Linked DNA regions of Drosophila melanogaster. The protein of the gene in region 2 purifies or fractionates together with the protein of the main gene of each other region. This does not show direct contact. Each region holds a gene or a part of one and is shown on either strand. Other genes may lie near its edges.

Region 1 (11,631 bases), on a different chromosome or scaffold from region 2:
GTGGGCGCTCCTTTCCGCCTACTCTCCTGCCGAATATTCCGGTCGTAATTTGAGCCCCGCTTGGATTCCACTACGCGCTCAATGTCACTGAGCGAGGGGCAGGTGGGCAGTTGCTTGTTGCTCCTGGGATGCCTGGGCTTCTCTACCTCAGCTAAAGAAAGACGCAAAGCTCGTAAAAACATCGAAAACCAAGGAACCAATTAATGAAACCGTAAGCCAAATGTTTGGATACAAAACACTTTATTTGGTAAATACATTTGATTTTTGGTAAAAATAGTTTCTATTTGGTTACGGTTTCATTTTCTAGGGCTTACGGGTATAACTTACCCATGGGGAACGATCTGCGCTTGCTGTCTTTTTTGAGCGATGGTTCCAGCTTGCTCGTAGGCACCTGAACGCCACGTTTGCGCAGAAACTCGTCCAGCACTCGCTCGGCCTCCCGCACCGAAGGATTCGTGGAGGTGAGCGAGGATTGCGATAGCTTCCCGTCCAGACTTTGGGAGCTGCGACGCGGCGGCTTCGGAGGCGGCAGCTGCGAGTTCCGTGCCTTGAAGCTGACTTGACCCTGCGAGAGGCGCTTCTGCAGCAGGCGTCCACCTGCTCCGGAACTGCGTCGAGAGCGGGAACTCCTGCGACTTGGCGGCTCGGTGGCCAGCTCTTCTTTCTCCTGATCTTCCTCCACAGCGGATTCCTGTTCGCTGATGTTAGACAAAACAGGAGCTGAGGGCTTATAGGCTATGGGCTCATAGGAAAGCATTTTAGTAGGCTCTCTCTGTGTGCTCCTGTGCCGGCACCTGGAGCTAGAATCTGACAGTTTGTGGCGGTTCACGCGCACTTCGGACACCACACAGTTGTCGTGCAGCTCCTGGATGATGTGTATAAGCGGTTCATCCTCGCCGGCCACGGCTCTCAAGCGACTGACAGCAGTTAAGGGAGTTTTCAAGCCAGAATTTATGCTGGCCGGCTCGCTTCGACGAAGTTTCTCCGCCTGCTGCCGCTGGCTACCGAGATTGTTCTGCTTGGCGGGCTGTAAAATGTGAGTTTAATGAGGGAACTGTAGCGGGCTGGTTAGTGGCTTACCTTGGCGCTCTCAGATCGCCTGCTGCGCCTTGGTAGTCGCACGTGCTGGTCACGTGGCGGTGCCGTGGAGCCGCAGTCTCCGCTGTCGCTGGTGAAGCAGTAGCAGAAGCCGTTCTGGCACGGCTTCCCCTTGCGCTCCTGCTCCTTGTTGCAGCGATTCTGGTTGATTAGGTCCGCATCCGTGGTTCTGCGGACTCGGGGAAGTTGTCGGGACATGTTGATGTGGTTATTGTTGGTCTCGCAGTCGCGACTTTGAGTGGACACACGGCGAATGCGGCGTGCCCTAAACTCGTCGATGCACTCCTGCAAACTGAACGACGATGTGGAACCAGACTCGGCGGAATCCTCCTCCTCCTCCTCCCCCTCTTCTTCATCAACTAGAACATGTTTGGAGAACTTTGAGCCTACAAAAGTCTGGAGGCCAATATGCTGTTCATTTGCACTTGTGATTAAATAGCGATTTAATGCTTACGGTGGCCATTTTGCAGTCTATGTATTTATGGAGCTGATTAGACCAGCTGCATGTGCTCCACTTTTACACGTTGCACGCTTTCTACTCCGCTTCTACTTCGTGTTTTTCCAATCAAATGAAAAGCGACGCCTCGCCTGCATTTTTGTTTTCCGCTTTGTGCCGCTTCTTCTTTATCAGCGAAAGAGAGAGAGGAGAGAGTGCATAACAGCCCTGTCTTGCGTCAGAGATTGGGCAATTGGCTGGTATAACTCAGGCAGCACTATATTCATATGCTTGAAATTGTTATTATTTATACAATTGTTCAAATGGGCTTTACTATTTATTATTTAATTCAGCGCGGAATAGGTTCATATTTAAAAGAGGATGTGCTAGAGATTAATTATGTTCCAATGTAAGCTGGGGTTATAGGGGTTATAGCTATAAAACATAATGTTTCTAGCTAACTCGTCATCTCTGGTCAGAGAGAATCAGCTGTTTGCGGCATGCTATTACGTCGTCTCTTATTTGGAATTGTAAAAAATAGTTAAAAATTGTTTTGAATTAAAAACAAATACAGAATGTCAAACAGCCACTTGTTCTTGAAGTCCGGCTTCCCCCGTGCACCCCTGCAAAATGGATTGGGACGCTATGTTTGTCAGCTCCAGCGGATCACCCTGAAGTTCTGCAAGAATAATGGATCCAGCAGAGGCATGCGGTAAGCAAAATCCTTAAATGTTTACATATAAAGTAAAATTAATCATACGAAACGTTCAATAGCGACTTCATTGAGAATCACTTGCTGGACTTTGCCAAAGAGAATCCCGGGATTGTGGTCTATGTGAAGCCCAGGCGCCACCGCACGCCAGTTTTGGTGGGAGAGTACTGTACGTATACATAATGTATAAGGATGCTCCCTAGAATACACTTTAAATATGTCATCCTGTTCCAGTGAACGGCGAGCGCGAATGGATGAGCTGCAGGAACAGCACCCAAGAGGAGATCTCCAAGTGGATTGACCTGCTAAAGACTCAAAACGGCAGCTCCAGCTCCCTGCGACTCCGGAAAATGTGGCATACCGAAGTGCCCTCCATCCAAGGCCCGTGGACGCCATTCCTGCTGCGTTCGCCGGATGCCCAAGGCCAGGCTTACCCCAGTGCCGAGGCGTCAAAGCCGCTGGATACGCCGCAAACTGCCACCGAGAAGCTCATCGAGTTGTTCCGGCAACAGCAACTGGAAGCTGGCGAGGAAGCACACGACGTGCTGAACAAAAAGCGGGCCGAGTGATAGGGATTAGGACTTTTTGGTAATTGTTGCTTTTATTTTTATAGTCAACATAGTTTTGTTGGTAAACAAATAAATATTTAAAATCTAAACCACTAAACTTGTGCCTCCATCGCTGGAATATCGAACCAAAAGTCATAGAAAAATGCAAACAACTTATTGTCCCCTTAGCTATGTTGCCTTTCAGATAGTTTCGATATGTTTCGGGTAGTTGGAATATCATTGTGGGAGTATCATAAATAATGCTTAAGGTTACCGACCCCTTGGAGGCTTGGAATACGAATACGAATACGAATACAAATACGAATAGAAATAGAAACAGGTTCTGGTGACGACTTAGCATAACCAACTTAGCATCGACTAACGACTGCAGGTGAGATGGGTGGCTCCGATCGGCGGCGATCGGTTAAGTACGCAAAGGTCTGACTAAGACGTTGATATAGTTACTTGCGGGTGCACACAGCGAGTTTGGGAGTATCAAAAAGTAGACCACGAATAAGTAATTGCTTATGTGCCGAAGTATTTTCCATCTAACACTTAAAACTATTGTACATATAGTTACTTTCACACGTACGATCAACGATCAACTTACACACCGATAAAAGCATTTTGCTCGAGTTTACAATTTCCGTTTAGTGAATTCCTTTGGCGAAATGCATTTGGTTCTTCCTAATTATTACTACATAGACCTTGAGTACACGAATGTTAACGTTGTCATCAAAATAATCAATACGGACGTCTTTACACTTTTGATATTGTTGTCAATGTTATATCACTAGTTGAACTAAATTAAACTTCTCCTTAAACCCATGTCTTTTTTCCATTCTTTCCCAGCTCTGCTTCATCTCTGCCGCTGCTGGCCCATATTTATACCTAGATTTTGTATTTTGGTGGTGATGGTGGTGGTGGTGGTGTTGGTGGGTGAGCTTTAAGCAAGCGTTTTCCATTCGCAACTAGCTACTGGCTGCTTTTTGGTTTCGATATATAGCCTTTCGTTCATAGCACGCAATTGCAGCTCAGCTCGCTTTGCGAATCTCCTCAGATATCTCCCGTTTCCATGGCTGCGTTTATGTCCGCCACAATCTTTCCCATCACCTCGCGGTAGGGGGAATCTGGTCGGAAAGCCGTCTCCAGCAGCGCCTCCTCGCCGAAGAAATCGAACACCTCGTCGATGCGGCCCAGCGACTTTTCTGTGAGATGCGGCTGCACAATCGACTTCAGCGCCACTTGCGATTCGGCTATTGACTTTTGCAGGTACGGCAGGTCGAACGTGAAGTCCACTTCGTAGAATGATATGATGGACAGCTGCGTGTTCTGCAACAAAAAAAAATCATAATAACATGTAGTTAAGGAGTAGCATTTAAGACTCACTTGAAACTTTCTCTTAAAGAGCTCCGCCTTCTGCAGCTCCTCGTCGCTGAACTGATTGTTCCGGTGGAGCACACCGATCTTGATCACAATCTTGATGATGTTCTTGATCAGCTTCTCCGCCTTGGCCTTGTTCCCCGTGTGCATCTTGCAGAGCCTGTAGAGGTTGTCCAGCAGCGACGCCGTCGTGCCATCGATGAAGGTCTTGGCGATGTTTTTTGTGGCCATGCGTGAGAGGATCTTCTTCTGCGCCCGCAGCCCGATATCGTGCGACTTGAAGACATTGTCCGCCATGACTAAAGCGGATGGGAGGGGTGGGATTGGAATTCAGATTCAGACATTATTATCGCTGCATATTCATTGACTAAAGCATTGTGGCAAAGAAATACGAGCAGTACGAGCAAACAAAACGGAGCAACAACTCAGCAACCAAGGAAAACTTAAAACTGAACACTGAATGGTGGCAACTGAAAAGCAAATCAGCTCCGCTCTTCTCCGCGGTTTACCTTCCAAGTTCCAGTAGTCGACGCTCCACAGCAGCAGACATTGTCGAAGCCCGGCCACCGACATCGCGACTATATATCACACATATATTACACCGATTCCAGTTGCAAGCATTGATAAGGGAATTATAGACAGAGATATAAAAACATGAATGATTGGGCCATGTACATCAGCGCCGTATCTTTAGATAAAGGAAACCTGGTTCTTTCTTCGCTGTGCTTCTGTGTTTCTTTGTGCTTTACGTGAAGTGGGCAATAAAACAGTCTGTGTGGCCTACGTTTAACTACAATGAGTCACTCAAATGCAATTACTTTTACCTATAGTGCTGGGAACTGAAACATTGGAGGAGAGTCCTGTAGGACTGAAGTCTGTTTAGACTAATAAATGGAATCAACTAACATAAGTCACATTTCTATTTAAAGAACAAAACAAAACGATTAATGTACGCACAACTTTATTTGTAACGAATAATTTCTTATCGAGTGTTCGTCACAAGCTTTTAACAAACAAAACAGGAATCTAACGATAATAAGACATTCTGGGGAATTCGAATTGGGTTATCATCGTAAACACAACATAAAACGAATAAATTTGATATAAGGAATTTAATGTACAGTCAAAGTTAGAGCTCCGCTGCTCCACAACTTTGCTGCTTTCCACACACAGATATAGGAATGCTGCCGTATTAATAATGGATGACCAACTGCGCCCCTCTGACCGTATCTATAAGGTCGTTCTAACGGCGCGGCGTACGTGCTGGAGCCCGAAATGGAAATGCGGCAGTGCTTCCAACTGTCCAAACAAGGAGTCCCGATCAGAGCTAGTTGGGTGACGGAGTGCTGGGGGGAGGAAACCGCTGGCGGGTCAACAGAGTTCAGACACACATAGGTATTAACTAGAAGTCGTGACTAAGCCTAATCTGGAGCAGGGCATCCCTGGTTGCTAATTTAACTAAGTGAATGCCAGTTCCAGTTAGATAACGCCCGGCAATAGAACCGTGTCAGGACACGGACTGCTCCAAATGGCTAAGGTCACGCGAAGTGCAATAAAAGAAGGCCTATCCCTTCAAAGGAACGGAGTGTGGGTCCCCCAAGGACGCCAGTGGAGTGCGGAAGTGCGCTACAGCCGAAACCACAGAGTACTTGAGTTCGTTGGGCCATTCTTCTCCTGGCTTTCCTGTTTGTCCTGCATTTGCGTGTTCCGTTTTCGCAGCAGGAGGGTTTCTTTACCTTCTGGGTGTTATTGATTGCAACAGGCTGTGTGTGATGCCCGCCCCCTTGAAACCAGAATAGAAATCCAATTTGGCGCTCACCTGTTTTTGTTTTTGTTGTTGCTGCAGTCCTTGAATCGAATCCTTGAGTCCTTGAGTCCAAGTATGTGTGTGTATGGGTGTAATGTGTGCTTGATGACCAGTGTCCGCAAATCGAAGTGCTAGCGAAAGCAACTGAAAGGGGTTGGCTGCATTAAAGCCCGCGAACTGCGTACAATTTGCAGCTAAATTTATGCGCAACTTCGATTAAACATAAAACAACTCAGCGAACAGCAACAAAAACAAAATATCAGCCTGTGAGACCAGCTGCTTGTAGCAACCAAATGTTAGACTGAAACGAATCAATCTTCCGTGGCTAGTATTATTTTCACTTTTGGCGGTTCTCCAGTCTTTCGCAACAGAATGCGTTTACTTCCCATCTGAGCACGGTCACACTGCCCAAGAGTCCAGCTGCGTCGTTGAAAAATATTTTCGATGCCTCGAAGGTTGATTTATTTCAGAGGAAATAGCAGGAAATAAAGTTGAAAACGCAGATTACGAGCAGCAGCCGCCAAGAGGAGTGCACAATGAACATTTACAACAAGTTGCGGGCCAGGGAGCATGGCTACGGTGAGTCTTTCGCTTGGCGGGAGAATCTCACTTTTGGCGCTCGAATTTCCTGCGATCAAAGGTGTTGATTTTTAAAAGGTTTCAATGGGTTTTCCTGGCCATCTGGTCAATGTGCATCCTGCACGGCCACCTGACCACAGAGCATTGCCTAAGGGGTGAAGAAACCCGACTAGTTGCTCCACTGGAAACTGCTGATCGTGCAGAAGTTCCGTGGAAAACAAAGCCACGGCACTATTTTCATGGTTTCTCCTCTGGTTTTCGTTTTTCTTTTTAGGCAATGAGAGGACCTACGACTTCGCCCTGCGCCGCCTTTCCGTGGCCAAGGAGGACAGCTGGCGGGGCATCGCGCCGGCCAACTACTGCCCAGACTTCAATCCGGAACCGCCGATCTTCTCCGCCAAGTTCGCCAACTGCGATGGCTATCGGCACATCCTGGCGATCGCCAACGAGGACGGCAAGATCACGCTGCAGGACACCACCCAGCGCAACCACCAGCCGGAGGAGCAGTCCCTGGTGGGCCCGCAGTGCCACTTCAACGCCGTTTTCGATCTGGAATGGGCACCCGGCCAGATGCGCTTCGTCTCCGCCTCGGGCGATCACACTGCCAGACTGTGGGAGGTGGCGGGCTCCGGCATACGCGGCCTGAACTCCTATGTGGGTCACACAAGGTCCGTCAAGTCGGCGGCCTTTAAGCGCACCGATCCCGCTGTCTTCGCCACCGGCGGCCGTGATGGCGCCATTCTCATCTGGGACATCAGGGCCAATCTCAATATGGACCTCACGTCACGCGTGGACAACTGCATCTACAGCGGTCACACGGGCGGACCGGGCACGCCAGTCTCACAGCGCAAGCAGCGCACACGCACTCCCAAGATGGCCGGAGGAACCACCTCGAGCAGCATCACTGGCTTGGCCTTCCAGGACAACGATACGTTGATCTCCTGTGGTGCCGGTGACGGAGTCATCAAGGTGTGGGACCTGCGGCGCAACTACACAGCCTACAAAAAGGAGCCACTGCCCAGGCACAAGCTGCCATATGCCGGCAGCTCCACCTTCCGTGGATTCACCAACCTCATTGTGGACGCGTCAGGCACGAGGCTGTATGCCAACTGCATGGACAACACCATCTATTGCTACAATCTGGCCTCCTACTCGCAGCGCCCGCTGGCGTGCTACAAGGGACTCCTTAACTCCACGTTCTACATCAAATCCTGCCTCAGCCCGGACGGCAAGTATCTGCTGAGCGGAAGCAGCGACGAGCGGGCTTACATCTGGAACCTGGACCACGCCGAGGAGCCGCTCGTTGCACTGGCCGGACACACGGTGGAGGTAACCTGCGTGGCCTGGGGCTCCAGCCACGATTGCCCCATTGTCACGTGCAGCGATGATGCGCGTCACAAAATCTGGCGGATTGGACCCGACCTGGATGGCCTCAGCGAGGCGGAGCGGGCGGAAAAGTACCGAGGAACTGCCTCCTACGTCAGGGAGTTCGGCAAGAAGGCATTTGGTCCGTCTAGTGGAAATCACAAGTACAATCTTCGAGATCTGGAGTCCACGCCAAGATCTCTGAAGCGCCTTATGGATCAAAATGAAAGGACGCCAGGTTCCGTGGAAAAGACGACGACCAAGCGTTCGTTCCTGGAAATGCTGGGCGTAGCTGGCCAGGAGACGGAAGCCACAGAACAGCCCCAGAAACGGGCGAAGCCACTGGAGTCACGTGGAAGGCGGCTCTTTGGACCTTCTAGCCAGGAAACTGCTTGCAGGCACATACAACTTCAGTCCATAAACGAGGAAGATGCCTCGCCGAGCAAGAGACAAAAGGAGAACTCTGCCGCGGAGGATGTCTCACCACTGCACAAGCTTCTCAGCACACCAAGTCATTCCCCTTTGAGTGAGAATGTCAACCATGTGTACACCTCCCCGCCAACCACGTCAGCGGCAGCAGCAGCGGTGGCTGCAGACGCGCTTAATCCGCCGCCGATCTCCGCTGCCATCTACTCGCCCACCTCCAACCTGCCCAATTACGTGCTGGATGGCGAGGCACCGCACCTGGGCATCATGTCGCCCAAGCGGAAGGCGAAGGAGAAGGTGGACTGGCTGACGAATATCCGCAAACAGAAGCTGATGAGTGGCAGGGCCCATGTGACGCTCAGCGAAAAGATCAGCGAGGAGCAGCAGGCCGATGTGCTGGCATCCCCGCGCCTCCAGAGTCTGCGGCAGTCAGAGTGCAGTCCCAGGATACACGCCTCGCCCCGCAGACGCATCTCCCATACGGACGGAGGCGGTGGCACGCCGGCTGGCAGCTCCTCGCACTCCCATTCCCAATCCCAGCCAAAAACGCCCACTTCCAGTAGGCGAAACAGCGAGACGACGCTCCTGCGATTCTTTAGCATTCAGAGAAGTAGCAGTGTGCCGGCGGAGGAAACAACGACAACGAATGCGGCTCCCTCCTCTTCTGATCCCCATCCCCCGGCAGTGACTGCGCCCGCAGCCACGCCCCTCAGCATGCGCACGCCCACGACGGCGGTGGGCAGCGATTGACGCGGAGCCTCGAGCCACAGCACCATTATTGCACTTGTAGTTTTAAGCGGACATTGTTTAAGTTATTTTATGTAGATAGTAGGTTGCATCTATCGCGGGACGAGTTGGTAACCAACTCCCCGCCCTCTGTACAGAGCCAAAAGATACGAAAGACTAACGTACCCGAATAAAAGTAACTCCATTTTAAAGCTGCCTTGATTGATTCTCTAAAAACTAACTCGTTTAATGTACTGTTTATTCAATTTTTTTTTTGGCATAATCAAAACGGTTTATATGTGGCACTCATGGCTAACAAGTGGCACTCAGACCATTTTACTGCAGCTTTTTCTGTTGCTCCTGCTGCTCCCTCTTGGCCGCATTATTAATCCGCATGGTCTGGACAAGCTGCTTGGCCACCCCAGCGAGCAGTATGATGTGGGTGAAGTGAAGGGCAGCGCTGGAGAAGTTCGTACTGGGATAGGTGTTCCAGCAGTACTCAATCAGTCCGAGGATCAGGCAGCGCACGCCCAGCGAGTACGGCGTCGACCAGGCCAAATAGGGTAGCGAGTGGAAGTACCAGACGTAGAACTGATAGTGCAAGGATCGGGAGCAGGCCACGCCCACCAGGTTGCACAGGAAGAACGGCAGCAGGGCCAGCTGGGTGCAGCGATCGAAGTGGATGCCATAGCGTTCCGGTTCCGCCTGTGCGGGTGCCGGAGTGGCCTTTCCTCCAGACGCCTTCTGCAGGCTCTTCTCGAAGGCCTTCAGGAAGGATTGCTGCTCGGTTGTAAACTTCTTCTGGTCCTTGTCCTTGTCCTTTTCCACTTTCTTTGGTCTTTTCTGCGCGTTCAGCTCGAGGTTCTGCTGGGCTATTTGCGGCTGCAGCTGATCCTCAATACGGCGCAGGCGCACGTAGCTCTGGAAAAAGGTCCAAGTGGGCTTGGCGAAGGCCAGCAGGAGCAGCAGATGCAGGCCCAAAAGCGAAACGTGGAAGGTGCGGTTCTCGAACAGATCTCTGCTCAGGAAGCGATAGTTGACCGTCCACTTGTGCTCGAAGATGCGTCCCAAATCAAAGCTGCCCCGCAGATACTCCACAGGATGGGTGAGCAGGAAAGGAGCGCCCAGCAGCAGTTGTATCACTCCGCAGACAGCCAGCTGCAGGATCGTCCGCAGAAGTCCCAGGTTGGCCAAGTAGAACAGCAAGAGCGCAGGCGCAAACAGCAGGATGTTCATCTTAACGCCCACCGCCAAGCTGAAGAAGGTGCTACCCAGGGTCCACCTTCTGTCCAGGAACAAATTGAGTGCGGCATAGAGGAGCAGCACTGCCACCGGATCGTTGAACAGTCGCAGCACGTATATCGAGTGGATCCGATACGACGTGAAGGCACTGAGCACTAGCACATACGGCGGCACCTTTCTGCTCTTCGAGTACAGCCTCAGCACCAGGGCCAGCTGGAGCAGGTAGATCCCGGCGAAGATGTACTGCGCCAGGCGAACGTTCGTTCCGTGGGACGTGACGTAGTAGAGAGCCGAGTAGATGTACACGAAGGCGGCTGGATACACAAGAGGTCCTGTGTCGCCTAGGAAATCGAAAATCGAAGAATTTCAATTATCATAAATTAGATAGAAGGAATGCAATTAGTCATTGTTTTCATTCACTAAGCAGTTATTTCAGTCTGTTTGGGCCTGGGAAAACTATTATATCCATTGAGTTACACTTCATATTTATTTTAAAGGCAAAACTTTAGTTAACTTATTTAATATACGGCTTTTTTAACTTTAACGGTATATAACGATATTTCATTCGCTTTCACGCCGGTTGGTATTTTCGCTCGCTACGCACGCGGTCACATTGAGCAAGTGCGAGTGAGAGAGAGAGAGACAGACATTCGTAGGACAGCATGGATGTTACGGCATGTTGTTGAAAAGCTGAAAATCTGATACTTTTATGGAAAAATGATGATTTCGTGTAAAAAATTATTCGTGTTCCGGCAGCTGCCGGCGGTGCGCCGTTGCCTAGCGGCAGCCGCGTTCTCCACGCCACGCGCGACCTCCTACCGAATCCTCTCCAGCGCCGGGAGCGGAAGTACCCGGGCAGACGCACCCCAAGTGCGCCGCCTGCACACCACGCGCGACCTCCTGGCCAAGGACTACTACGCCACGCTGGGCGTTGCCAAGAACGCCAACGGCAAGGACATCAAGAAAGCCTACTACCAGCTGGCCAAGAAGTACCATCCGGACACGAACAAGGAGGATCCGGATGCGGGCCGCAAGTTCCAGGAGGTCTCCGAGGCCTACGAAGTGCTCAGCGACGAGCAGAAGCGCCGTGAGTACGACACCTATGGCCAGACGGCGGAAAACATTGGTCGCCAGGGCGGCGGATTCCCTGGCGGAGGAGCCGGTGGCTTTGGCCCCGAGGGTTTCTCGCAGAGCTGGCAGTTCCGCTCGAGCATCGACCCCGAGGAGCTCTTCCGCAAGATCTTCGGCGAGGGCAACTTTCGAACGAACTCGTTCGACGACTTCGCCGACTCCAAGTTCGGATTCGGCC
Region 2 (11,090 bases):
CAGTTATATGTACACACATATATACATATAGCCATATCCACACATACATAAAGTACGTACATGTGCGTGTGTATGGTTCGGAAGGGGGGGGGGAACCGGTTTCCTTTTACTGTCTTGCATATTTTTAGCAACAAGTTGAAAGAGTTGCCTCGCCAAATGGGTACAGTGGGGCCTCGCAAAATCGAACTTACATATGTATGTATATTGTTCGACTTTAAATGTTTATTTAAATGTTGAAGAATGTTTATTTTTGGAAACTGAATGGTCCTCTTTTGGGCATCGGTTCAATATCGTTTGAAATATAGAATATGCATATTAAAGAAAATATTGCAAATTGAAATTAATGAATGTGGCCTGTAGCCGGCAGAGTGCGAGGGAGATGGCAGCGGGTGGGAGCGAGATGTGAAACAGTAAAATTATAATGAAAACGTGTAGAGCGATCGACTGCGATCGGCATTCGCGCTTGTAACAAAACAGTTTTTATTCGCAAAAACAAAAAGAAAGAAAGAAGAAAACCGAATCGGCAAACAGAAACAAGAAATATGTACAACAAAGAAACCCCTTGCGGTCGATGTGGAATTGGTTGAGAGGGGGGTGGCGTAGACGGATGCCACAATAGCAATAGCCACCGCAAACATAGCGCTGCGTCATTGACGTCGGCAAAGCAGCAACAGAGGCAGCGGCAGCGGCAGAGGCGACGCCGCAAAACAATTGCCGGCCATTGTTGTCGTTGTATTTGCAGTTGTTTTGTTGTAGCTGGGACCCCAACGTCGCAGTCACTCACATTTTAGCCCCAAAAGAAAAGGGCATGCTCGAATATGGACGCGGGTTCAACCTGCATAGTTTAAAGAACTGAACCTCTTAGTGCTGGCACTCAAATTGAGGTTAGGTCGAGGTTCCCGCGTAAGTAATTTTTTGCTAGCTTTATGTTTTATAAAAGAAGTTATTCTATTTTGATAATTTTTCGTTTTCTTAGCTCTAAACAAGCGTTTTTAGGCAAGTTTTTGTATCTAAAAACTTTTTTTTATAATTATCTACTGTATACACTAGTTGCTCGCTTCGCTTAAAAACTTTAAATATGTATATTAAGATATATACTTATTAATATTAATGTTAATTCAGTTTGACTATATCTGAATTTCTGAAACGCAATATCCCAAAAGCTAAAATGGCAGGGTATTTTCTTATGAACCAAGCTCTTGTCTTTTTTGTGTTTTCCTTAGTTTTCTCAACATTTTGTTACATTTGCTTTGCCATTCATATTTCTTATTGCTTATTGTTGTTTCCAACAACAGCAGACACTTGTGAGCGGGGTGTGGCAGGCGGCGGGGGGTGGTGTTTCGGTTGGTGCGCCAGAGGGAGAGGCAAAACACAATGGCCACACTTTGACCCTGACTTTTAATGTGTACATTCGCCGTCTCACTCGCACCCTTCACCCGTCCCGCTTCTCTTATGCTAAATTATTGTTATTATTATGAATTGTGCTTCGTTGTTTGTGTTTGTGCTTGTGCTTGTGTTTGTATTTTTGTGGTGTTGTCTGCTAAACACTAAAGTATGATTAATTGACCTGCGGTGGCCGGCGCACTTTAGCACATATTTTCCCGGTCTCAGTACTCCCCGTCTCCCCGTCTCCACGCCTCCCAATCCCCTCTACCACAAGGTATCCATATGATTTTCCCAAGGGGCATATATATACATATGTACATACATGTATTGTAGGTTCAACATCATTAGTAGTTTACTGCTATTAGCAGTTTAATTTGCATAACTAAATTGGCCTTTATCAATTATGTACATATATTACTATATTTAATATATATACCTAGTTTTATTAATGTAAATTTTTCAAGACAATTAAGCTAAACATAGCTATATTTAAAATGAAAATAAAGTTCATTGGTTTACATTTGATAAATAACTCTTTTATTTACATTTTTTGGAAATTTATCTACAATTTCTCTTTTCTCCAAACGTGGTTTTTAATACATTTTTTTTAGCATTCTAGATGCTATTTTAATATATAAACTATACACATGGCTAATTCCCGTTTTTTGTTTTGTTTAATAGAGCCAAGAATCACGTTTAAAAAGTGCAACAGTTTAGTCATTCAAATCGTCATCGTCTCAGCCCAAAAGTATGCTACTAATTAGTTTGAACTAAAAATTGGCAAAAATAAACAAAAAAAAACTTATTGTCGGTTCTAAATTCAAACTAAATCAATTTAAAAATTGGCTAGGGAACGAATGCAGATTTCTTCTAAACGTTGCTCAAAATCAACACAAAGTCAAAAGAATAACTGTTTTGAGCAGCTAATTACCAATGCTAACAATCCCTATCACCTTTTCAAGGATTTAGAAAAATTTATTTTTTGACCAATTTTTGCATATTTTGGTAAGGTAAATTTACAAAAAATGGCAAAAAAATAGAAATACAATTTTTGGACACAGTTGAATTGGAAATTTAATTACGAGCTCGACGAGATATGGCATTCCATACTCAGACAATTATTTTTAAAGTTGCGTCCAAGAAAGGGAATGTTTTTACTCCAAAAATGGAGAAACATTCAATCACATTTACGTGTAATCCATGCTATATTTCTTTTATATTTATAAAAAATTCAGCTCAAAGTGCGTAACATTTAAAATGTAATTTTTATTTTTTGTTATTTCGAGTTCGTAACCTGTCAAGAACGTGGTACAACAAGTTGAAGTCATGCTTTCCTAATACTAATAAAAAAATGTTTGGTTTCAAAAAAAAAAAAATAGGAGAAAGAAGAATTAACAAAGTATGTGATCTGATGATGACCTTTATGGGATCCCTGGATGATCGCCGAACGGCAATGATCAGGGAAGGATTCTCTATATATGGCCTCCTGGTTGATATCCAATGCTGATATCTCCCACCATAAGCTATGATAACCAGCAACTAAGCATTTCGCACGCCGCGCAACTCCTTGTCGGCCTTCTTGAGAGTGATAAAGTTGTTGAGCGCCTTGACACGCAATTTCGACCAGACCATGAAGTTGCCCAGCCCCAGAATGGTGGCCGCATGCAGAGCAGCTGCCTCTGGATAGAGAACTGTGGCACAGCCCAGCCCCGATGGCAGATTCAAGCTGGACCACACGTCCACCTGCATGTTGTCCGATTTGACGGGCGGACAATTGATTACCGGATAGTTGGTGCTGCCGGAAACGACTGGACCCAGTCCATTGGATCGCCCGGCGACGGCCACAAAGATCAAGTTGCTCATCACCGATTCATATTCGCGGACAATGCGCAACGTTTCCTCCGGTCCCTTGTGGGCCGAACTCACGCGAAGTTCCACATTAAGGCCGAGGGATCGACAGCTGGTGGCTATCTTCTCGCTGTGCGATATATCGGAAGCACTGCCCATCAGAATGACAACCAGGTGATCCTTCTTGGGCACAATATCAGCCAGTTGTTCGGCCACCCAAATGAAGTTCCTCTTTACGGTATCCAAATCGCTGGCCGTCACCGATGCCAGATTGCGATACACCTGCTTGTCGACCATCAAACGCTTGTCACCCGCTGGCCACAAGCGCCACGAATCGGAATCAATGATATCGGCCAGAACTATGTTGCCATCGTCGCAGATACCGAACTCCACTTTCATGTCGATCAGGGCGCAATTCTTGGTCTGCCATGCCCTCTCGAGAATCTCGAAGACCAGCAGTGTGGTTCTACGCATAATGTCCACCTCATCTTGGCCTAAAGAAAAACATGTTGCCAGTTTTAGATTTGTATATGTAAAAGTGCTTTATGCCGCAAGTACCCACCGATCACCAGGCCATTTAGCTCGAACTTGGCGGAGACAATTTGCTCCTCGCTCCACTGGGGATCGTGGTTGGCATCATCCTTGAAGAACGTCTCCTGTTTGGGCGGCGAGAACCTGCGCAATGCAAATGTAATTGTAGTAATAAGGCAGCAAATTGAGGCAAATAGATGAATAAATTAAATATCAAGTGACATTTGTATTACTTCTAGTATAATATATATTCTACAGTAACTCAAAGAGGCGAACTTGTTGGCAATCAAAGCCATAAAAAAGAGCTATTGCCTTGGTATGACGACATCAAATGAAACGAATTTACACATAGCATCTCAGCAGCATTGCCCTGGCGAAAATCTTGACTTGAATTACAGATTTCGTGGGCTTTGAGTTCACAAACGATCAATCTTATCAGCGATTGTTGACCCTGCTGCAGTGCATCGATTGCATTTGAATTTGTTTACCGCAAGCGGACACAGATAACACACAGATCGCAACAAATCGAATGGGGTGATAACCCACAGCCAGCCATTGGCTGTTTACCAACCTGTAGCCCTCGGGCACGCCGACATTGCGCTTGAGGAACGAACCGGTGGCCAGGCGACGGGTCACCCACTCAATGGGTATCATCTGGCACTTGCGGGCGATGAAGGCCTTGGCGCCGCACTGCTTCACATAGGCGGTGCGAATGCCTGTCGAATAAGAAGCATTAATTAATTAATTAATTGATCAATTTGGTTAGAAATTGACTAAAATGCATTATAGTTGATTTGACTTATATGGTTTAGCAACTCACCTGCCTCGTTGAGCAGCCGGAAGACCTGACCGTTGGTGGTATTGGAGATCTCCGCCTTGCCGGCCAGATCATGTGCTTTGACACCATCGCCGGCGGTGATGCGATCCTTGCTGAGGAGCAGGCAAAGTCCTGGCTGCTCTGGCAGATCGTACACCTGTTTGGTTTTGCCCTCGATGATGACCTTGCCGAGCTTATAGCCCTCTACTGTGGAAATTCAAGTTGCAGTTGCATTCGTTACGTTCGGTGTTTAGTTAGTATTTAGAATCGATGCTATATGATATATGATGATACTGATTTAAGGAATGGAAAGACAACTTGTTTACGAAATCCACAATTATCTTGATTTAAACAATGGAAAGCCAGCCTTCTTGTTTACAGCAGACAGCTCAATAAACAGCATTAAAATATTATCAGAACCAGGAAAATATTCCGTTGTTTTATTTTTTTGAGTAACCCGAATAACTGTTTAAATAAATCCAAGGCTGGCGGGAAAACATAAACAACTGTCTTGCTTTCCATCACATTAAGCTTGTCTTTTATTGATGAAAGATCGAATAAAAGATGGTAGCTTTGGTACTATTTACGTTCTAGGCACAACAATTGTTTATTTGGAAACCTTGGCGATGGATAAACTTACTGGATGCTGTTGTGGTGGTGGACATCTCGTTAATCGCACGTTGTTGGTCACTTCACTTTAAGAATCGAAATTGAAATCAATTGGCTGCTGGCTGTTTCACGTGTTGCGGGCTTTGCTTTATGCTCGATATTCGCTGGTGCCTTCCCTCTCGCTCTCGCTCTCTATCTCTCTCTCTGTCTTTTTCGCTCTCTCCGCTTGGCTCTATTATTACAATCCGCAAACTCCGATGTTCGTCTGCATCAAAGAATCGCTCCAAAGCAACTGAGCGTCTATAGAATCGCCGGCGCGACTTTATGGCTCGATTTTCTTATCGCCGAACCCCAACACCAATGCAAAGAGATCCATGTGTTTGCGCTCGCGTGTGTGTGCTTGCGTGTGGGTGTGTGTGTGGGCTTAGAGTCGAGTATAATGCTGATTGGTAATACCCTGCAGTTTCCCAAATGGCCGATGAACACCGCGCGGGGCAACTTATGTACTTATGTACATACATACATATGTACATTTTTTGGCAATCTATAAAGCTTTGCTTATGCGTGACAAATTTTATTGTCGCATTTTATTTACAAATTTTGTTTCTAAAATATTTTCTATTCATTTGGTGACTTTCTGAATTTTGAATTTTTCTTGATTTTTGTCCATTCTCCAACTCCTGACATCCACCTCGTCCTGCCTAACATGCTCATCCTGTGATCCTGATCTCTGTCTTTGTCTCTGTCTCTATCTCTCCAGTAGGTAGCCTCTTTATCGTCTTGTTGGCTGAACTGCTCTTTTTGGTGATTGTATGTGTGTATGAAACTTTTCCTTGAGGGAAAAAACGTATATTTCTGGTGAACCCATCTCCGCCGTGTCAATTTGCTCCTCCTAGTGTTCCAAAGCATTGCGTTGCGATCGTCTTCAGTTCAGTTGTTTTGTAGAAAATATATGTATTTTCACTTCTCTCACAAGTGGTTTATTTGAGTGTATTCCTTCTCCTCGGCGGTTTTCTGTCTTTTGAACAAACCAACGTAGTTTTATGCTCCTCTTTAGAATTCTCCTCCTCGCTATCCTCCTCATCCATCACCAGTTGGCCATTTAATGTCGGAAACTTAATGACCGGCAAAATTTTGCGCTGCTGATTGCTTTCATTCATAAGCTTCTTGATGAGATTAGCGATATCCTCACGCTTCTTGGTTACTGTGAGCAGGTCAAACCAATTGCTCAGCTCCTTAATGGGCAGTGTATAGTCGTTGATGGGTTTTGTGAAGAATTGCTCCACATATTGCAGCAGATAGAGGCCGCAATCTGTAAGATTCTGCTGTTGCGGCACCTCCACACTATGACCGGGCATATTATCCTTGTTAAAGACATGCGCCAGCGCATTCGGATACTTGGCCTTGTGCTCACAGGTGAGATAATCCCGCAATATGGCAATCGCTCGATGTCTTGAGGTGACTGCCAACGAATCGAAAATAAGTATCAACGGCTGTTTGATGGGAATATCATCACTGAGTGTCGTCTGCACATTATTATTGTTTACCACCGGGCTTCTAAGGTTTGGATAACATATAATGGCCAGTATCCAATGGGACTGCTCATTGAATGGTATTATAATGAAGTCCTTGTCGAATATATTGACGTTTCGTGTCCACTTCTCAACCCTTTCGTGACGCTTCTGGGCCGCCGTCTGCTTCGTATTTCTGGGATTCGTTCGTGTGGTCAATCTTTTGTGGAAAAACGTGCTAAAGATATGCGTCCTATCGCGCTGTTCCTCTGGTATGATGTTATTCTTTAGCCAGCGCAGATAAAAATCAATGATTATATCGTTCAGATACGATCCTTTACTGAGACACATAAAGTCCTTGATGGTGATGCTCAGGCCACCGGTACCAGTTGGCGGATATGTGAAAAGGGTTTGATTCTCATCGGGTGAAAGTCTTCTCTCGGTTTGGCCATCATCGGCGGCGGTGGTCTCCTCATCACCGCTGCTCACCAGCACCACGGCATCTTCATCAACGTCCCTGCTTAGTATCCAATTGCGATTTCGGCGCAGGCGACTACGCTCTGCGCGTTCTGCTGGTGTGGGTATAGCAGCGTCGCTAGTTGCTTTCACCGCTGGCGAGGATATGGATGCAACATTCGATTGCACCCGCGATTGAGATCCACCAGCTGTCTCTTCCGATTTCTTGCTAACAGCGGCATTGTTCCTCGACTGGATCCACTGGGAGATTGCGGGAGCATCTTCAGCTGGTTGCACGCCCCGAAGACCATTACTCGTCATTGTAGAATTGGAGGTTATAGCCGTGGAGTTGTGACTTCCCTGTTTATTGCCAGATGAACTAGGGTTGTCATGAGAACTAGCAGCTTGAATTCCATTGTTATCCTTTGCAATATGGCACTTCTTCTGTTTCTTGGCCTTGGTATTAGTATTGGCGTCTTGATCCGCCGACAATATCACTTGGCCATCATTGTTTTCTCCCGGACTCCCGCAAGGACTTTTCTTGTGCTTCTTGCCTTTGGTTGCACTTGCAGCTGGCTGGCAACCATTGTTGGCCACCGCAGTCTCTGATGGTTTGACAACCGCAGGGGAGTGCTCTTCACCGGCCATCGCATTGGGTGGAGCGGCATCAGCCGATGATGCCTTTGACTGATGCACCTTCCTATAGAACTCCTCCGCATGGGCAACCGTCTCGGCAATGTTATCACTGATGGGGAAGCCCACAGAGACAACCAAATGGATAATACCGCCGGCATTCTCAATGCAATCAATCGTGGTGCTCTCATCGATCTGAAGGTCCATTTGGAAAAACAGATCCTGCACCCTACACGCAAGATTCGGCAGCTTGAAGGTGACGATGTGCTGCTTTCCACTGCTGTAGATAATCAACATCCTGGCACTTCCTTTGTCCGGATCCGTGTCGGCTCGATTGATCAGCAATTGACGTGAGACTAATATAAAGTCATTATGGGCAATTCGACGTACCGCTTGGTCCTTCGAAACAGTTTCTTTGCGATCCATTTTGGAGCCGGATTCAATAGTATAACATATGTACGTTATATGGGCTGATCTGACTGAACTGAAGTTTCTCGTTTCGATTGCAAATTCTCGGGCTGCTTGATGTGCAAAGTTAACTGGATGGTTGAAGAGTCACCTAACACGGTGACTTTGATCACTATATTCCTTTCATTTTCCAATCTGTGTGTTTTATGCGATATTTGATATCTGTCTATTTTTATTGTTGGGGTAAACGGCGTCCCAAGTGCTGTATCCAAAAATCATCTGTGCGAGTTGCTATCGCCATCGGAGTTTTGCTGCTCATATCGATACATATGTATATGTTTCCAATTGGTATGGATTTTGTGGGGTGTTTTTAAAAATATGTATCGATAGTCCGCTTTGAAATTTGAATGTTGCGAATATTGAAATTAAATAATATTTGAACTGACGAAATATAGGCATTTAAGCGAATCTTAGCTAAGCTAAGTTCTTTGCTTTTCATTTACAAGTATTAGTATTCTTACATGTGGTATTTACAAAGTTATAAGTTCAGCCGTTTGTTGCAAGTTCTTTGTATGGGAATTTTTAAAAACCAAAAATTTATTCTCGTTTTAATTTCAACATTTTGCAAATACAAGTACAGACATTAATCAAATTATAGTTGTGCGTCCGTCATCGGGTCCACCTGTCCGATTTTTAGTCGTCAGCATTGAGCTCCTCTCACCACATGGATCGCTTGGCGGCGATAAGAAAATCAAATGTAAACAAAAATATTATTGTTTTTTTGTTTTTTGCCAAGAGCGTATTTATAAAAAAAAAAAAAAAACAACTGACAGACACACACACGTTTTCCTTTCCGCGGGCCAAAGGGCTCCATTTCGCAATTTGCATCGGTTGCCAAGTGCGGAAAAACGCATCTAAATCACAACGTTGTTAGCTGTCAGAAAGTTTGCCAAGTCGAATTCCTTAAATGTGAAGCAACTGGAAACTGGCTTTTGTTTTACATTTACAAATTTACTATTACTACTACTGTATATACTTTACTAAATAGTGTCATATCTGTGCTGGCTGCAGTAATATATTTTGCAAAATATATTTTTATTCGAATTGTTTTTTCTTATGCATATATTAATTATATATATTATTTAAAATATATTTAACATTTAAGCACGTGGAAAATGCATATGTAAATAATACAACAAGCCTGCTCTATTTTTAAATATCCAGCTGAGTACATCATATTTTTCGGGAAAAACTTATGCTATGTTTTCCGTTAGTTCTTTATTAAATTGAATTTTTCGTTGTAGTCATATAAACTTTTTTGTTTGCTCTAACCAAACCGTTCGCAGAGAAGATGTCATATTTAACTAACAGCTTTATTTTTTTTTTAAATACGCGGGACTTTAATATTTAATTCTCAATTAATTCTCGAAACGATGTTTTTAGTTCATGCTTTTTAGTTCCAAAGCTGAGACTCAAACCCAATGCCAGCTCCATGCAGCGCGGACGCACACACCGCTCGCTATCGATACCCAACAATTAGCCGTCTATCGATATTTGCAGACTATAATATTTTTATTTACACTTGTTGAAAAAGAAAGAACATTTATTTATTATTAAATTTAATTTTTTTGTAATTTAATATAAAACAAATATTAATATAATAAAATTAAAAAAAATAAGATATATTTTCAGATGCATAATCTTAAACTGGTATTGATAAACATAAGTTTGTCGGAAATCAATTGATCGGAAATTTTTTGGCCTCCACTACAAATTGAAAATGCATATACAATTTTAAGATTGCATGCTAATAACTGAAATTGAATAAATTTAAATTTGAAGAAATTCGTTTTCTGAGTCTTCGAATAGCGATGAAAAAAAAAAATAGACATCGATGTTTCGGAAAATCGATAAAAACATCGATGCATCGATGTTAGCTTCGATATTTCGGTACCGCTAGTTGCCACGAAAGTCGCTCGAACGCCGGTAACGGAAATTCTCAGCAAACGCAGCGCAACGTCGTTTTCGCGTCGCCGTCGACGTCGGCGTTGTGTCGTCGCCGCAGCAGCAGAAAATAAAAATAAAAGAGAAGAAAAAGAATCGAAATAACTGCATACGAAATAGATCGAAATAAAAAGTAGTCGCTTTTATTAAAATCCACAACAAACAAAAGCCGAAACGAAGAAAGTGAGCATTCATTTGTTGTTGGTGTGTCAAGCGAATTCCACACGCAGCCGCCAATTGTATTAAATTCGAATTGTTTAATTTAATTGTAAAGGTTTGTCCACAACAAAACGGAGCTGGCGAAAATTGCATTTATTTATGTTTAATTCGAGTGTTTTTGTGTGTGTGTGTGTGCTATGTGTTTTTGTGTGTCTTTAAGTTGATTTCTTTTGCTATTATCCTTGGCGTGTCTGTAGTTCTCTCTGCCACCCTCTCTTTTTGAACGCTCTCTTGGCGCAACCCCCTTTTACCGTTTTTTGCTTATTTTGTTTTGTGCCAGATGTGTTCGTAAGGGAACAACAATATTAACCCTTGATGGACCCAGTTTGCAAAATAGTAAATAATAAGTAAATTTTTTGACACAACGAAAAACTCTATAGTTCTTCCTATGCACTTGAAATACAAATGAACAGAAAACAAATTCATATTGTAAAATTGTCTTTTTATGCAAATGGAGTTAATTTTGGAGTTAATTTTGTGTTCTTATTTATTAATATAATATTTGAATTAAATTTAATGAAGAATTTTTTTTAATATCAATGGATGTCCTCGAACTAACATAACGCGCAAGTGTTAAGACTGAAAATGGAAATAGGGGCAGCGAACCGAATAAAGGAAATGGCAAACAAATAGACAATTTATTTAGCTGATTATATGCAGCATTCAAA

Evidence for each region.
Region 1: the proteins of Paics (region 2) and sigmar purify together in Drosophila melanogaster (affinity purification with mass spectrometry, with the first as the bait; one large-scale study listed by BioGRID). This does not show direct contact.

What each region holds. Positions count from the first base shown.
Region 1 is NT_033778.4:23,696,115-23,707,745, forward strand, and holds sigmar (salivary glands marred), read right to left. Parts: upstream 6,293-11,631; 5' UTR 5,997-6,292; intron 4,756-5,996; 5' UTR 4,751-4,755; coding exon 4,687-4,750; exon of another isoform or gene 4,477-4,686; coding exon 4,184-4,476; intron 4,127-4,183; coding exon 3,851-4,126; 3' UTR 2,835-3,850; downstream 1-2,834. Other genes in the region: CG30183 (uncharacterized protein), read right to left, coding at 1-151, 328-1,027, 1,081-1,494, 1,553-1,561; mRpL43 (mitochondrial ribosomal protein L43), read left to right, coding at 2,110-2,246, 2,309-2,415, 2,481-2,815; l(2)dtl (lethal-(2)-denticleless), read left to right, coding at 6,521-6,563, 6,838-9,104; Alg3 (ALG3, alpha-1,3- mannosyltransferase), read right to left, coding at 9,417-10,663; CG5504 (uncharacterized protein), read left to right, coding at 11,040-11,631. UniProt on the Drosophila melanogaster protein: Important for modulating JNK signaling, cytoskeletal remodeling and autophagy in larval salivary glands.
Region 2 is NC_004354.4:12,755,127-12,766,216, forward strand, and holds Paics (PAICS bifunctional enzyme), read right to left. Parts: upstream 5,492-11,090; 5' UTR 5,248-5,491; coding exon 5,223-5,247; intron 4,790-5,222; coding exon 4,586-4,789; intron 4,482-4,585; coding exon 4,337-4,481; intron 3,910-4,336; coding exon 3,797-3,909; intron 3,729-3,796; coding exon 2,926-3,728; 3' UTR 2,634-2,925; downstream 1-2,633. Other genes in the region: pira (pirate), read right to left, coding at 6,172-8,217. UniProt on the Drosophila melanogaster protein: Bifunctional phosphoribosylaminoimidazole carboxylase and phosphoribosylaminoimidazole succinocarboxamide synthetase catalyzing two reactions of the de novo purine biosynthetic pathway.